Saccharomyces cerevisiae S288C: one gene and its partners. The protein of the gene in region 1 interacts with the protein of each later gene in a biochemical or structural test. Each region holds a gene or a part of one and is shown on either strand. Other genes may lie near its edges. The genes, in order: TUP1, MOT3, DAL80 and RDR1.

The links.
Region 2: the proteins of TUP1 (region 1) and MOT3 form a complex in vitro, tested with the Saccharomyces cerevisiae proteins (one study listed by BioGRID).
Region 3: the proteins of TUP1 (region 1) and DAL80 form a complex in vitro, tested with the Saccharomyces cerevisiae proteins (one study listed by BioGRID).
Region 4: the proteins of TUP1 (region 1) and RDR1 form a complex in vitro, tested with the Saccharomyces cerevisiae proteins (one study listed by BioGRID).

What each region holds. Positions count from the first base shown.
Region 1 is NC_001135.5:259,758-264,449, forward strand, and holds TUP1 (chromatin-silencing transcriptional regulator TUP1), read right to left. Parts: upstream 2,696-4,692; coding exon 554-2,695; downstream 1-553. Other genes in the region: TRX3 (Trx3p), read left to right, coding at 1-204; YCR085W (uncharacterized protein), read left to right, coding at 3,159-3,512; CSM1 (Csm1p), read left to right, coding at 3,635-4,207; YCR087C-A (uncharacterized protein), read right to left, coding at 4,249-4,692. UniProt on the Saccharomyces cerevisiae protein: Acts as a component of the CYC8-TUP1 corepressor complex which is involved in the repression of many genes in a wide variety of physiological processes including heme-regulated and catabolite repressed genes.
Region 2 is NC_001145.3:407,528-411,195, forward strand, and holds MOT3 (Mot3p), read left to right. Parts: upstream 1-1,626; coding exon 1,627-3,099; downstream 3,100-3,668. Other genes in the region: AVO2 (Avo2p), read left to right, coding at 1-57; NAT4 (N-terminal L-serine N(alpha)-acetyltransferase NatD), read left to right, coding at 182-1,039; TVP18 (Tvp18p), read right to left, coding at 3,235-3,668. UniProt on the Saccharomyces cerevisiae protein: Transcription factor that affects the expression of a large set of genes. Recognizes and binds to the consensus sequence 5'-[CAT]AGG[TC]A-3' in the promoter region. Plays a major role in the repression of a specific subset of hypoxic genes (e.g.
Region 3 is NC_001143.9:505,055-508,207, forward strand, and holds DAL80 (Dal80p), read left to right. Parts: upstream 1-1,843; coding exon 1,844-2,653; downstream 2,654-3,153. Other genes in the region: SPO14 (phospholipase D), read right to left, coding at 1-1,341; YKR032W (uncharacterized protein), read left to right, coding at 1,463-1,777; DID2 (Did2p), read left to right, coding at 2,885-3,153. UniProt on the Saccharomyces cerevisiae protein: Negative regulator of multiple nitrogen catabolic genes including the allantoin pathway genes.
Region 4 is NC_001147.6:1,049,717-1,053,499, forward strand, and holds RDR1 (Rdr1p), read left to right. Parts: upstream 1-1,573; coding exon 1,574-3,214; downstream 3,215-3,783. Other genes in the region: AMF1 (Amf1p), read left to right, coding at 1-1,342. UniProt on the Saccharomyces cerevisiae protein: Transcriptional repressor of multidrug resistance genes, such as PDR5. Required for growth on non-fermentable carbon sources like lactate or glycerol.

The DNA of each region.
Region 1 (4,692 bases):
ATGCAACCACACTTAACGAAATTAATTCAGGCTTATCCAGATGTAAGATTTGTCAAGTGCGACGTGGACGAATCACCAGATATTGCCAAAGAGTGTGAAGTGACGGCTATGCCCACCTTTGTTCTTGGCAAGGATGGCCAACTCATCGGCAAGATCATTGGAGCTAACCCTACTGCTTTAGAGAAGGGAATCAAAGATCTATAAATTTTATATTCATGAGCACATGTAGTTTTTTTTTTTTTAGTTTTAAATATAAGAAAAAAGATAGTATATATATATATATATATACATATACATATAAAAGGAAAGTAAGCTTATACAATACACAAATAAATTCATATCAAAGAATAATGAACCGCAATATTCAGAAACACAGGAAAAGGAGGGGAAGGGATGAATGGTGAGGAAAGTAACTGTTTGTTTTAAAGCGTACCTGGATCATAACATAACAAATAAGTAGATAAAAAAGAATAGAGAGAAAGATATAATGACAATGAATTGAAGAATAGTTTAGTTAGTTACATTTGTAAAGTGTTCCTTTTGTGTTCTGTTCTTAATTTGGCGCTATTTTTTTATACTTCCAAATCCTTGCTTTACAATCACCGCTACCAGTAGCAAAAACGTTATATTCTGGACCCAGCGGAGACCCGTTTGCCACAGCCACAGATATAACTGAATTCCTATGACCTTGCAACATCAATAACGGATTGCCGGATTTCTTATCCCAAAACAGGACACCACGATCTTTGGAACCGGACAAGATGTACTCATCATTTTGTGTGGTGGCCACGGACAATACAAAGTCTTTATGCCCGATATACGTAACTTCACAAGTGCCGGAATTTGGAGTTTTCGAATCGCTCTTGTTGTTTGCATTCTGCAAATTCCAGAGCTTAACAGATCTATCTAATGAGCCGGATACAACGCTTTGTCCATCTCTAGTGAAGACAACGCTATAAACAGAGTCCTTGTGGCCTGTACCGGATTCGTTTTCCGAATCTAGTCTTTCCACCAAGAATCCGGTCTCGGAATCCCAAACTCTCACAGCACGATCTAGAGAACCAGCAGCGATGTATTTACCATCACCTGGTGATACAGCGACGGTGGTAACACCATCTTCAATGGATAAAGTCAATGAACACTGGCCTGTACGTAAGTCCCAAATACGAACGGTACGGTCACCAGAACCGGAGACTAATTTGTCACCTGAGGGAAAGTAGTCCAATGAATAAATATCTTGTTCGTGGCCTTGAAGAATCATAACAATCTTTCTATTTTCAATATCCCAAATTCTAATCAGTCTGTCTTCAGCACCTGTTGCCAAAAATTTCCCATCTGGAGAAAAACACACTGAACGGATATACAAGTCGGATGATGGGGAAGACGAAGTGTTCAGGTTTTCCACATCTTTTGCCAATTCTGCTGCCGAAGTCATCGCTGTGGTAGTAATTGTGGTGGTAGTAGTGGTTGTCATTGTATTGTTATCCGTGGACGTGGTGGTGTTATTTTCAGTGATCGAATTTCGATGGTTATTGGCAGCAGAATCGTCAGATAGACGGGCCACCAGAGAACCATCTGAAACGCGATACACTTGAGTAGTTTTGTTGCAGCCTGTGGCTAAGTATTCACCATCGTTACTGAACTTCACGCAACAAACAACTGAAGTATGATCCAAAGATTTGTGTAACTCAACGTCAATTTCTCTTGGTAGTGCCGGGTTGTATAAAATATAATAATCATTTGTTTGCTTCTTCAGAGCATCGGGAACAGACTGGGAATCTAGATCCAAAAGGAAAGGTGGGATAGGTTTAGAGTGGTTTGCTCTTTGATTATAAGGGACTAAGTAGTGATCCTGGTGCAAACTAGCCGGGGTGGCGTCTTCCTCCTTAGGTTTGATTTCAGTTTCAGTTGCGGTGGTAGTGGTGGCCGTGGTGGCGGATCCGGTGTCATTTATCTTCGAGGTATTATTATTTTCCGGTTCAGTTTCTTTCAACGTAGATTCAGGTGCCTTGACAGAGGGTAAAGTAGTGGTCTCTTTAGAAGTAGGAGATCCGTTGATGGCTGTGTTACTCAATGGTGCCACGGAAACCTGGGGAGGTGGTTGCTGTTGTTGAAGTTGCTGCTGTTGCAGTTGCTGTTGTGGTAGTTGTTGTTGGGCGTTTGAGGACACCACAGGCAAAGTGGTGGTAGGCAACTGTGAGCCAACCAGATTAGGACGGCTAGCTTGTACTGGGAAGGCCGATGGCGAACCAGTAGTTGTGTTTGCTGCTGGAGTGGCGGTGGCCGAAGTAGTAGCCGGTGGTTGTTGCGCAACTGGAACAGATGCAGATGCAGCGGCTAGCTGCTGCTGTTGCTGTTGTAAATGCTGCTGGACCTGTTGCTGCTGTTGCTGTTGCCGCTGTTGCTGGACGGTCAAAGATGCAATTTGATGGTCTCTTTGCTCCAGCCCTAGTTTCAAGTGCTTGATCTCTTCTTCGTACGCGTCCTTCATTTTCCTGTGAGTTAGTTCCAGTTCGTAGACGGTGTTTCTTATCTGCTGCATCTCAGCCAGCTGCTGGTTCATTTTGAAATCGTAATCCTTTTGGTTTTGAAGACGGTAGGTATTTGCCTCTTGTGAGACTTGGAGAAACTCCTGTCTGATGGCATCGAGAAGCTCATTCAGCTTATTCTGCGTATTCGAAACGCTGGCAGTCATATTGGTTTGGATGGAAAGCTGATTTCTTTCTTCCCCTGCTTATCAAAAAAGACAAAAAAACAATAGAAAAAGAGTAGTGGTGTGCGAAAGGTAACTTGGCGTGAAAGAAAATTAAACAATTGCAGAAGGACAGATAGAGGGGCACGTGTTCAGCCAGTTGTTCTTGCTTCGCTGATGTTTATCAATTGGGGGTAGATGGGGGAATTTCTCTCTATTTGTTTACTTATGTACTTGTTATTTTGTTTTGTTGTTTGTTGCTTTGACGGGAGAGCTTTTTAATTTTTTCGCAGTTTTTCAGTGTTTTTTGAAAAGTACGAAAAATTAAGGTCCGTCGGTAGCGATAATGTAAGAGGGTTCTGTCTCTAAAAATGTTAGGGTGAAAGTTCCAAAAAATTATTAACTCCTAGATTGCTCAGCCAAAAAGAAGGGTAAATTAGGGCTTTCCTGGTTTATTTATTTGTTTATGTTGTTCTTATATACATATGTTTATGTCTTTTTATGTACAAATAATGATGTTTACAATGAAACATCTGTTATGCTATCAAAAACGTCAGCGCATTGTTTTATAGCTGAAGAAGTTACAACGGATAACGGTCTGATTTGCGGCCTGGCAATGCTTGGTAAAACTAAATATCAATTTTACGAATTATTTACTGTATATAGTATTCAGTCCCTCACTCAACTGGCGTCAAGAGTGAAGAAGGGCGGCCTCATTATGGCTCGCCTTATTCTGTTCACCCTCTGCGCTCTTCCCGTATTATTTCATTTTATTTTGTTTATGCTTCAATATCTTGTATTTGTTTACATTGAAAAATGATTGGAAAAAGGTCACATTGAAATCAAAACAGTGAAGAAGCAGACAGACAAGAAGGTCATTAGATAGATAAACAGGAACAATAAAAAAAAGAAAGCGAAACAAGACAATCCAACGTGCGCAAAATGGATCCATTGACTGTATACAAAAACTCAGTGAAACAACAGATCGATTCCGCAGACTTACTAGTGGCAAATTTGGTAAATGAGAATTTCGTACTGTCGGAGAAGCTGGATACAAAAGCAACCGAGATCAAACAGCTGCAGAAGCAGATAGACTCGCTAAACGCACAAGTCAAGGAGCTGAAGACTCAGACTTCCCAACAGGCAGAAAATTCAGAAGTCATAAAGGACCTTTACGAGTACCTCTGTAACGTACGTGTACATAAAAGCTACGAGGATGATTCTGGGTTGTGGTTCGACATCTCGCAGGGCACCCACTCAGGGGGATCTTCCGATGATTATTCGATAATGGACTATAAACTCGGATTTGTCAAGGGCCAGGCCCAAGTCACAGAAGTCATATATGCGCCCGTTCTTAAACAGCGATCCACCGAGGAACTATACTCGCTACAGTCGAAACTACCGGAATACCTCTTCGAAACGTTGAGTTTCCCCCTCTCGTCGCTAAACCAATTCTATAACAAAATCGCTAAAAGCCTGAATAAGAAAAGAGAGAAAAAAGATGAAACCGAGTAAGCTGCTACATAATGTCTATATATCTACACATAAAATTCCGATTATTCCTTTGCATACCTGATTTGCCCCTCAGAATCCACAACCAGACTTTTCAAGAAGGTCTTTTTTGCCCCTTTATCCTTCATGGTTTTCAAAATTTTGTACAACGACTTGCCCTTGTGAAGCTCGATACCGTTCGAGGTCTTTTCCACTTTCTCTGCCTTCTTGATCACAGGCTTCTCCACTTTCTTTGCAGGAGTTGCCACTGGCTGGTGCTGGTGCTGCTTCTGCTGCTGCTTCTGCTGCTGCTTCTGCTTCTGCTTCTTGTTGCCCTTGTACAACGCTTTCTGGTACTTCTCGTCCTCGCTGATGCAAGACGTGTGATTCTTGTAACTCACGCCATCTTCAAACGTCTTGGAGCAATCTATGCATGTATAGTACGCGTTAGGACATCTATAATAATGCTTTTCGGTATTCTTCTTGGGCACAGTATCATTACACACCTC
Region 2 (3,668 bases), on another chromosome or scaffold:
CTGAACATACCCATCTCAAAATTAAGAAATAGCAATAACACGCGTGCAGAAGATTGAGAAGACTACTACGTATTTTTTTTTATATGCATCCTTTTTTCCACATATGTATGCGCGGTGCGCGCGCGCCATTAAAAGATTTTTTTCTTAGCTCTTTTTCTTTTTTCTTTTTCTTTCCACTGAGATGCGTTCTTCGGTATATAGTGAGAACACTTACAACTGTATACGAACATCGAAGGAGCACCTAACAGAAAGAAGGAGGGTCGCCATGGCGCCAATGTTCCAACATTTCTTAAACTTATGCGTGGAAAAATTTCCTGAATCCATCGAGCACAAGGATACAGATGGAAACGGTAACTTCACCACCGCTATTTTAGAAAGGGAGATTATCTACATCCCCGAAGATGACACTGACAGTATTGACAGCGTTGACAGCCTCAAGTGTATAAACTACAAGCTGCACAAATCTCGCGGCGACCAAGTGCTGGACGCCTGTGTGCAATTGATAGACAAGCACCTGGGCGCCAAGTATCGCCGGGCCTCGCGCATTATGTACGGCAACAGGAAACCATGGAAGGCAAACAAACTCGCAGAGATGAAAAGCGCCGGCCTTGTGTATGTCTGTTACTGGGACAACGGCGTGCTAGGTGCATTTACTTCATTCATGCTTACAGAGGAGACGGGTCTCGTCGAAGGTGACGCTTTACACGAGGTTAGCGTGCCCGTGATATACCTTTACGAAGTACATGTAGCTAGCGCGCACCGCGGGCATGGAATCGGTCGGCGGCTACTGGAGCATGCACTGTGCGATGGCGTAGCTCGACACACCCGCCGCATGTGCGACAATTTCTTCGGTGTAGCACTCACCGTATTCAGTGATAACACTCGGGCCCGGCGACTATATGAGGCGCTTGGGTTCTACCGCGCTCCGGGATCACCCGCACCAGCATCACCCACAATTCGTCACACGCGACATGGTGGGGGACGTGTAGTCGTGCCCTGCGATCCGCTTTATTACGTATATTGCCTTCACATGCCGTGAAAGCCGACAGGGACAACGCGCGATAAAAAAAAAATTAAAAGTAAAACTACGTACGCGGCGGCGCGACTCGAATCCTTGACTCCGACTGAGGAGACCCGAACAACGCTCCCTGCTCTCCGCCTTCGGCGCCTTCCGATAACTGCGCACGGCAAGGAGTAGTGGCGATAACGGTGTTTATTGCCGGTTTTTTCGTTTTTCTTCTTGATTTTCTTCTTTTTTTTCCTCAAAAGATGTGCTGTAGCCTCCGCTGTTGTTTTTTTTTATCCTACCAAGGCGCATCATCCTGTCATGATCTGCGCTGGATAGTATTTATACTACTACTCCGTCTGGATTTACTAAACTTTGTCTCTCTTTTGATGTAAAGTTAAAGAAGAATTACGAAAAAAGAGAGAAAAAATAGAAACAAATAATAGGAATTAAGGCCTTGTAGCAATCAAAAAAAAAAAGAAAAAAAAGGAATTTTTTTTGGAAGAAAACTTGAACAAAACAATTCCTCAAGAAGGAACAGGTACAAGAAAAGATTTAACAGAAGGAAAACTAATAGGCAACAGTAGGCAAATAGTAAAGGGACATATCATATTTGAGCAATGAATGCGGACCATCACCTGCAACAGCAGCAGCAACAGCGACAACAGCATCAACAACAACAGCATCAACAACAACAGCATCAGCATCAGCATCAACAGCAGCAGCACACGATATTACAAAATGTGTCGAACACTAACAATATCGGCAGCGATTCGCTGGCGTCACAGCCTTTCAACACGACTACTGTTTCCTCTAACAAGGACGACGTTATGGTGAACTCTGGGGCAAGAGAACTTCCAATGCCCTTACATCAGCAGCAGTATATATACCCTTACTATCAGTATACAAGTAATAACAGTAACAACAATAATGTGACGGCTGGTAACAATATGTCTGCGTCGCCGATTGTCCATAACAACAGCAACAACAGCAACAACAGCAATATTTCTGCTTCTGATTACACTGTCGCAAACAACAGTACTAGCAATAATAACAATAATAATAATAATAACAACAATAATAACAATAATATTCACCCAAACCAGTTTACTGCGGCCGCAAATATGAACTCAAATGCTGCAGCGGCTGCTTATTACTCCTTCCCCACTGCGAATATGCCAATACCGCAACAGGATCAACAATATATGTTCAATCCTGCTTCATACATAAGCCATTACTATTCAGCAGTTAACAGCAATAACAATGGTAATAACGCCGCTAACAATGGCAGCAACAACTCTTCTCACTCAGCCCCAGCCCCGGCCCCCGGTCCACCCCATCACCATCACCATCATAGTAATACACACAACAACCTCAACAATGGTGGTGCTGTAAATACAAACAACGCTCCTCAGCACCATCCAACGATAATAACGGATCAATTTCAATTCCAACTACAACAAAACCCTTCTCCAAATTTGAATCTCAATATTAACCCGGCACAACCTCTGCATCTACCTCCTGGTTGGAAAATAAACACTATGCCGCAACCACGTCCTACGACAGCACCTAACCATCCCCCTGCGCCGGTGCCTTCTTCGAACCCTGTGGCCTCGAACTTGGTTCCTGCCCCATCATCAGACCATAAATATATCCATCAATGCCAATTTTGTGAGAAGTCTTTCAAAAGAAAATCATGGTTGAAAAGGCACCTATTGTCACACTCGCAACAAAGACATTTTCTATGCCCTTGGTGCTTAAGCAGGCAGAAGAGAAAAGATAATCTTTTACAGCATATGAAACTCAAGCATACAAATTATTTATTAGACGAACTCAAGAAAAACAACATCATCTTTAACTACAACAATTCTTCCTCCTCTAATAATAACAACGACAATAATAATAATAATAACAGCAATAGCGCTAGCGGCAGTGGCGGTGCCGGTGCCGCGGCGGCAGCAGCAACAGCTCCCGAAAATGAAGATGGAAACGGTTACGATACAAACATCAAGACTTTAATCAATGATGGTGTACTGAATAAGGACGACGTTAAACGTGTTTTGAATAACCTTATTGTTAGTCACAACAAATAGATAGACTTTATAGACACACAAAATATCCCTTCCCACTCATTTAACAATCAAGATAATAGTAATAATCACAAATTTAGAAAGTAATTATGCATATATACATTATATACATATAGTTTATGTATGGTACGGAACTGATTACAACATCTCTCTAACAACGGCCTCGTGAGGGAAATCGTCATCTGTAGGATTTTTGATAATGTTCGTATTCTGGAACTCTTGGTGTTTAGTATATGCTACCGCATAACTGATTGACGATATCGTTAGCCCGACAGCTACCACAATTAGACTCGTAGCCATCACTGCAATGGAAATATACTGGATTATCGCCATTGCTAGATAGAAAAGACATCTCCATCCATTTGTTTCAAATCTCTTGATGAATTCAATGAAATTATCGCTAAGGGGACAGATTTTCAACAAAAATGGTATTTCAATGAATAGGATCACTAACCCTTGGATTATACTAATGATACCAAAAGCTATCACCCCACTAACGTGGAACAGATTCGCTATCCCGAGTGCAATACACAAGATTATGTTGATATATCCAAACCATCTACCATATACGC
Region 3 (3,153 bases), on another chromosome or scaffold:
ATCGTCAGGTTCGTCAATTAAGTCTTGTAAATGTTTCATTTTGACGTTATCTATATTAAACTCAGATATTTCAGAAGATGATAAAGTTTCTAACGATGTAATGTTGCTGCCATTATCGTTATTGTTATTTTCCGATGTATGAGGAGCTGAGGCTGCAGAGGATGGTTTATTTTCTGCTTTTTTCTCCATTACATTTCTTTCTTTAACCATTTCTTTATAATGGGGGAAATGCGGAAGTTGTAACGAATGATATCTGTTGTTATCACTATAAAGCTTGCTTATAGTGAGTTGTTGGAACGCGACGATTTTCAATTTGTGATGTAGTGATTTGATATCTTTATAACTTCTTATAATAGACCATTTGAGCCTGTCTTCATCAATCCCATATTCCAAGTGTATTCTAAATAAAGAGTTTTCGTTCCTGCTATACATAAATTCCGCCACATTCGAAGAAATGCTTATAATGCTGGAGCTCCTTGGAATAGAGGGTCTCCTATCAGAATTCTCGCCAGTATTGTTGTTGTTGTTACCACGATGGTTATGGTTGCTATTGGTAATATCCAAAATGTTGTTGTCATTTTTCAAGGGAGACACTCTTACATCTAGTTTAGCTAATAGCAGAGGAGCCCTTCTCTTCCCATGTTCGTCTCTCAGAAATTGCGTGCTTGCGAACAATGAGGCCGGGCATCCTGCCAATAACGAATCTAATAAATCAGAGGCTAGTCTTTGTGTGTACAAATCTTCTTCGTTTACTTGTTGATGCTGGTGCTGGTTATGACGATGGCCGCTTCCAGCCGGTGTAGGAGAATTTACGCTGGATTTCAGTCTACCAATAGCAGAGATTTTCTTAAAAGCGTGGCCAAACTCTTTCTTCCAGCCATTGAACTGCTGTTGGGTGTAAGCTACAGAAGAAGAACGCCTTTGAGGGGCTCTTTCTTCCTCTCTTTTAGAATTCCGCTTAGAATGAACATTATTGTTACTGCTATGGAGATTGTTGTAGAGCCGGTGCATATTTTCCTCATCAGAACCTCGACGAGGATCATGTTCATTAGAGTGCATAATATGGTCTAATGAGTGGTTCGGTGACACATCACTCAGGTTTCTATCTACAAAGGATTTGGGCAATGCATGCTTCCTCTCCGCCTCCTTGCCGTTGGGAGTTCTTCGTTTTTCTCTTTGTAAACTGCTAGTCAGATTGCCATTCTCAGGTAATTGCCGCAATACTTCTTGGTTTTCTAACTCATCTGGTCTCGAATTTACTCTATCTACTTCTTCAGTCACCGATCTATCTGCCTGAGGTGGAGCGAAGTGAGTTCCAGACGCTGTTGACACGTTAGACATCACCCTTGTTTATCTATCCTACCTTTTCTTCTTGCGTACGTGCCTCTCAATGCGTCGTGTGAATTATCAGTGACCGGTCGTGCCTATAATGTCCTGCTAATTTCCCACTAAATCTTTCCCCATGGCGTATTCATCGTTATGTTTGTGTCTTTTGTTCAACCCAAAGGGCTGTAGCAATCTTCACCCGTTTGTCGTTGATAACGAGTTTCCACCTTATCACTTATCACTAGTGCTAATCAAACAGCAAAGAATGCTTGATAGAAACCGATCCTGGGCTTATCTCGCTGCATTGTGGCGGCATCCCTGGACTGTAATCAGCAAGTGTTGCTTAGTATATATATACATCCAGCGTCAGCTTGAATTTGGATACAGTTACTGTTTTTTCGATTTTCTCTTGGTTATTCTTTCTGAGACAGTAGTAATTTTGTATTACTGAGCGGGATATTGTTTATCTGCCGTCATACTATATTACATTATATTATATCATATTATATATAAGAGAATGGTGCTTAGTGATTCGTTGAAGCTGCCCTCGCCTACACTTTCAGCTGCTGCTGGAGTGGATGATTGTGACGGAGAGGACCACCCCACGTGCCAGAATTGTTTCACTGTCAAAACGCCCCTATGGAGAAGAGATGAACACGGTACTGTTCTCTGTAATGCATGTGGCCTCTTCCTGAAGTTGCACGGGGAACCAAGGCCTATCAGCTTGAAGACGGACACCATTAAGTCAAGAAATAGGAAAAAGCTGAATAACAACAATGTGAACACTAATGCCAATACCCATTCTAACGACCCAAATAAAATATTCAAGAGAAAGAAGAGACTGCTTACAACTGGTGGTGGTTCATTACCTACGAATAATCCGAAGGTTTCTATTCTGGAAAAGTTTATGGTGAGCGGGTCCATTAAGCCACTGTTAAAACCAAAGGAAACCGTTCCCAACACAAAGGAGTGCTCCACGCAGCGGGGAAAATTTTCTTTGGACCCCTGCGAACCTAGTGGGAAAAACTACCTCTATCAGATCAACGGTTCAGATATATACACGTCAAATATAGAGCTGACAAGGCTGCCTAATTTGTCAACATTATTAGAACCCTCACCTTTTTCAGATTCCGCTGTACCAGAAATAGAACTAACTTGGAAGCTACATAATGAGGAGGAGGTAATCAAATTGAAGACCAAGATAAGCGAATTGGAGTTGGTGACAGACCTATACAAAAAGCACATATTCCAACTGAACGAAAAATGCAAGCAACTGGAAGTGGAACTACACTCCAGAGCTTCAGTACAATCTCACCCACAACATTAAGAAAGGATGTAGCGTTCATGACAGTATAAATATAACAGGATATAGTATATAAAATTTAATATGATTTAGTGACACTTATTTTTACGCGAACGGGTAACACACTGCCATTTATCTGGTGCTGGAAAATTGCCCCTAAAGAAATGATAAGAATGAAAACGAATCAATGTGAAAGCAGTTTGATGAGATGTGAGCTACTTTGAAAGTATAGGAAGTCAGACATCGCACTGAGAAATGTCACGTAATTCTGCAGCAGGTTTGGAAAACACTCTTTTCCAACTAAAGTTTACATCAAAACAATTACAAAAGCAAGCCAATAAAGCCTCAAAGGAAGAAAAACAGGAAACTAATAAGCTCAAACGTGCTCTTAATGAAAATGAAGATATATCTCGTATATATGCATCCAATGCTATAAGAAAGAAAAATGAAAGATTACAACTGTTGAAGTTGGCATCACGGGTGGATTCGGTCGCATCAAGGGTACAAACCGCCGTCACGATGAG
Region 4 (3,783 bases), on another chromosome or scaffold:
CATCGGTAACAGTTTTGGAACAACGAATGCTGGACAACTTAGTTGGTTTGCTTCCGCATATTCGCTAACTGTTGGTACATTCATTTTAATTGCTGGAAGACTCGGAGATATCTTCGGACACAAGAAATTCTTTGTCCTTGGCTTCTTTTGGTACGCACTTTGGTCCTTACTTGCTGGGTTTAGCGTCTACTCTAATCAGATTTTTTTTGACTGCTGTCGTGCATTTCAAGGCATGGGTCCGGCCTTTTTGTTGCCAAATGCCATTGCGATTCTCGGACGCACATATAAGCCAGGAAGAAGAAAAAACATGGTCTTTAGTCTGTTTGGTGCTTCAGCACCTGGTGGCTTCTTCCTTGGGGCTGTTTTCTCATCCATGTTGGGTCAACTGGCGTGGTGGCCATGGGCTTACTGGATAATGGGTATTGCATGCTTTGTTTTAGCTGTAGCAGGTTACTTTGTAATCCCTCACACCCCCATGCCAAGCCGCGATGCCTCATCTTTCAAGTTGTTGGAACGAATCGATTTTGCAGGGTCAGTTACCGGCGTTGTTGGATTAATTCTCTTTAATTTCGCTTGGAACCAAGGCCCCGTTGTGGGTTGGCAAACTCCATACACATACGCTCTTTTGATAGTTGGTACCTTTTTCTTGGTTATTTTTGCATATATCGAGTCCCGAGCAGCTTTCCCTCTGCTACCATTTGCTGCTCTTTCTAGTGATACTGCTTTTGTACTTAGCTGCATAGCTGCGGGATGGGCCAGCTTTGGTATTTGGATATTCTATACATGGCAGTTCATGGAAGACTCAAGGGGCCAAACCCCCCTTCTTTCTAGTGCACAGTTTTCACCTGTAGCAATCAGTGGATTTTGTGCAGCCGTGACGACAGGTTTCCTTCTAAGCCATACACCCCCAAGCACAGTTATGCTTTTTGCGATGACAGCTTTCACAGTCGGAACTATATTGATTGCTACGGCCCCCGTTCACCAAACGTATTGGGCTCAAACGTTTGTGTCAATCATTGTTATGCCTTGGGGAATGGACATGTCCTTTCCGGCCGCTACAATAATGCTTAGTGACTCGATGCCACACGAACATCAAGGTCTTGCAGCCTCTTTGGTTAATACGGTGGTAAACTATTCGATATCGATAGGTTTGGGTATTGCAGGTACAATTGAATCTAGAGTAAATGACGGAGGTGCCAAGCCTTTGAAAGGATATCGTTGTTCGTGGTACATGGGCATCGGGTTGAGCGGACTTGGCATTTTTGTCGCAGCAACGTATGCATGGAGCACTTTTATGAAGTCTAAAAAAAGGATCTCCGAAAAGCAGCATTTTATAGAATAAGTTCATATATAGAGAAATACTTCATCGTGGTATATAACCCAAACTAATAGAAATAAATATAGTACGATCAAAGTGATAGAGAGGAGCCAGTATATCCCGTATCGTGCGATAAATATGAAAATTACAAGAGGCCATTCTCGAGTGAAAAGATACATTATTTTTTCAAGTAGAAACCTGAAAGAACTTCAGTAAGATAACTTAGCGCACACTTTCCTACTTTAAGCTCACCAAATGGCATCCCCAGGATCGACAGCATTACCACACAAGCGACAAAGAGTCCGAAAGGCTTGCGTGCCCTGTAGGGAACGTAAAAGGAAATGTAATGGCAAATCTCCATGTGAAATGTGCGTTGCCTATGGATATGTATGTCATTATATTGACGGTCGTGTCCCTTCGGCATCACCTCAAGTGCAACAAGTAGGTGAAACATCTCCTGATACGGAGAGCAGACCTTTTGTTCTTCCGGGTATACATAGAAACGAACAACCGCAGCCTATAAATACACAGAACGTTACAAGTCAAAACATTGTAGATCCAACTAAGTCTAGGTACACGATCCAGCACTCTGCAGTTGCTTTCCCCCGCTGTCTTGGTCTCGAACTCCGATCAACTAATCCTCCACGCCTACATTCCTTCGCTTGGCATTGCGGAATCAGACCGGAAGAAAATCCAAACTCACATGTCCTTCTTTCTGATTTAGTTACAAAGGAAGAGTATTACCGTATCTCAAAAGTTTATTTTTCAGTTGTTCACCCGATATTTGATGTTGTTAATCCAGAGCAACTGGCAAAGAATGTTGAAAAATACTGGGATGGCGACGTAAAAACCTTAGAGTATGGGGCTGTTATTGCAGGGGTGATAGCTTTAGGATCATTTTTTATGGGAAGTCTTGGCCATCCCCGAGAGATGGATATAGTACAATATGCCAAAGGGATCCTTGATGACCCGACTTTCAGTCGCATTCCCACGGTGGAGCAAGTCTCCGCATGGGTTTTGCGCACCATTTACCTGCGAGCCACTTCGAGGCCCCATGTAGCATGGTTAGCTAGCTGCGTAACCATCCATCTTTCTGAGGCAATTGGCCTGCATCATGAGATTGACAGAGAGGATATAGCGATATCGAACAACGTTCCACCAAAAAGAACTACTGTAGTGAGCGAACACACTAGAAGATTATTTTGGTGTGCATGGTCAATCAATACCATTCTTTCATATGACTATGGGCGCTCAAGTGTTACGCTGAATAGAATTACTTGCAAGCCAGTTAAGGAGACGGACGGTAATTTTACAGCTCATTTAGTCGCGTTAGCACACCTGATTCCCCAAGACAGCGTGAACGCAAACGCAGCGCAATTGTTGCAGGCCCTGGCGGCCGTTCATGAATCACCAAACGCACATCCGTTTTTGTCGTTGACCAAGGGTGATATATGCCTCTCTTTGTATAGAAGACTTCGTTTGCTGAATCATATTCTTGATAAAAATGTTGTTTTACAAATAATTGATATCGGCAACACTGCGCTATCAGCAGCATACGCTCTTGTAAAACTGGATCAAGCATGGTGGAATGTGTTGAGCACCTCATTCCAGTACGTCTGTGTCCTTCTTGCCATCGACACACCGGAAAGTCTTTCACATGTTGCTACTGCCATGAAAACGTTAGATAATATTACTCAAATTCTCGGTACACGTATTGCTTTTGAAGCACAAAAGACCGCAAAACTGCTTCTTGAGGATTCCATGAAAAAAAAAAGACAAGAAATTCAGCAGCTTGAGCAGGCAACTCACCAGAGATCTAATCTTGAAACTACTCACCTACTCGATATTGACTGGGATGCTTTGCTAGATCCATCAGACACGTTAAACTTTATGTAAAAGAGTATTATAGATTATGTGTATCGAGAAGCAAATTGATTTATAATTAGAGGGAATGGAATTGATGTTTAATACCTGCTTACTATATTTTATCTTTGATAATTGCGCAGAAAGTAATATATCCGGTATTTGAAAATAGGAAATTTAAAGAAATCCCGTCACGCCTGGAATGAGGGGTGAAACCTTGACTGATATTATATTCTTTTCTTGGACATAGTGTCTGAACCAAATGCAAATTGCACTGCATTGCACCAAATTGATGGTTCAAGTTCGATCTATAAAAATACGAGAGAAGGTCTGACTGTTTATGTCAATACTCAAGAGGCTCAGGAACAGTGTTAAAGCTTGGAAGTTCAATTCATTAAAGAAAAGTTGATAACGTCAGGTGGAAAACCGAAAGATAAAAATAAAAGCAAGTCAAGATTTGAAGTATTGCTGAGCGAAATTTTGTTTGAGTGGTCCGGAAATTTTTATACACTTTATTAGTATTTGGTTTAGTGTAGGTGGGAAAGCTTAGAACGTATGTAGAAAAACATCCCTGAAGAGTTCTCTAGATCTTATCATCAGCA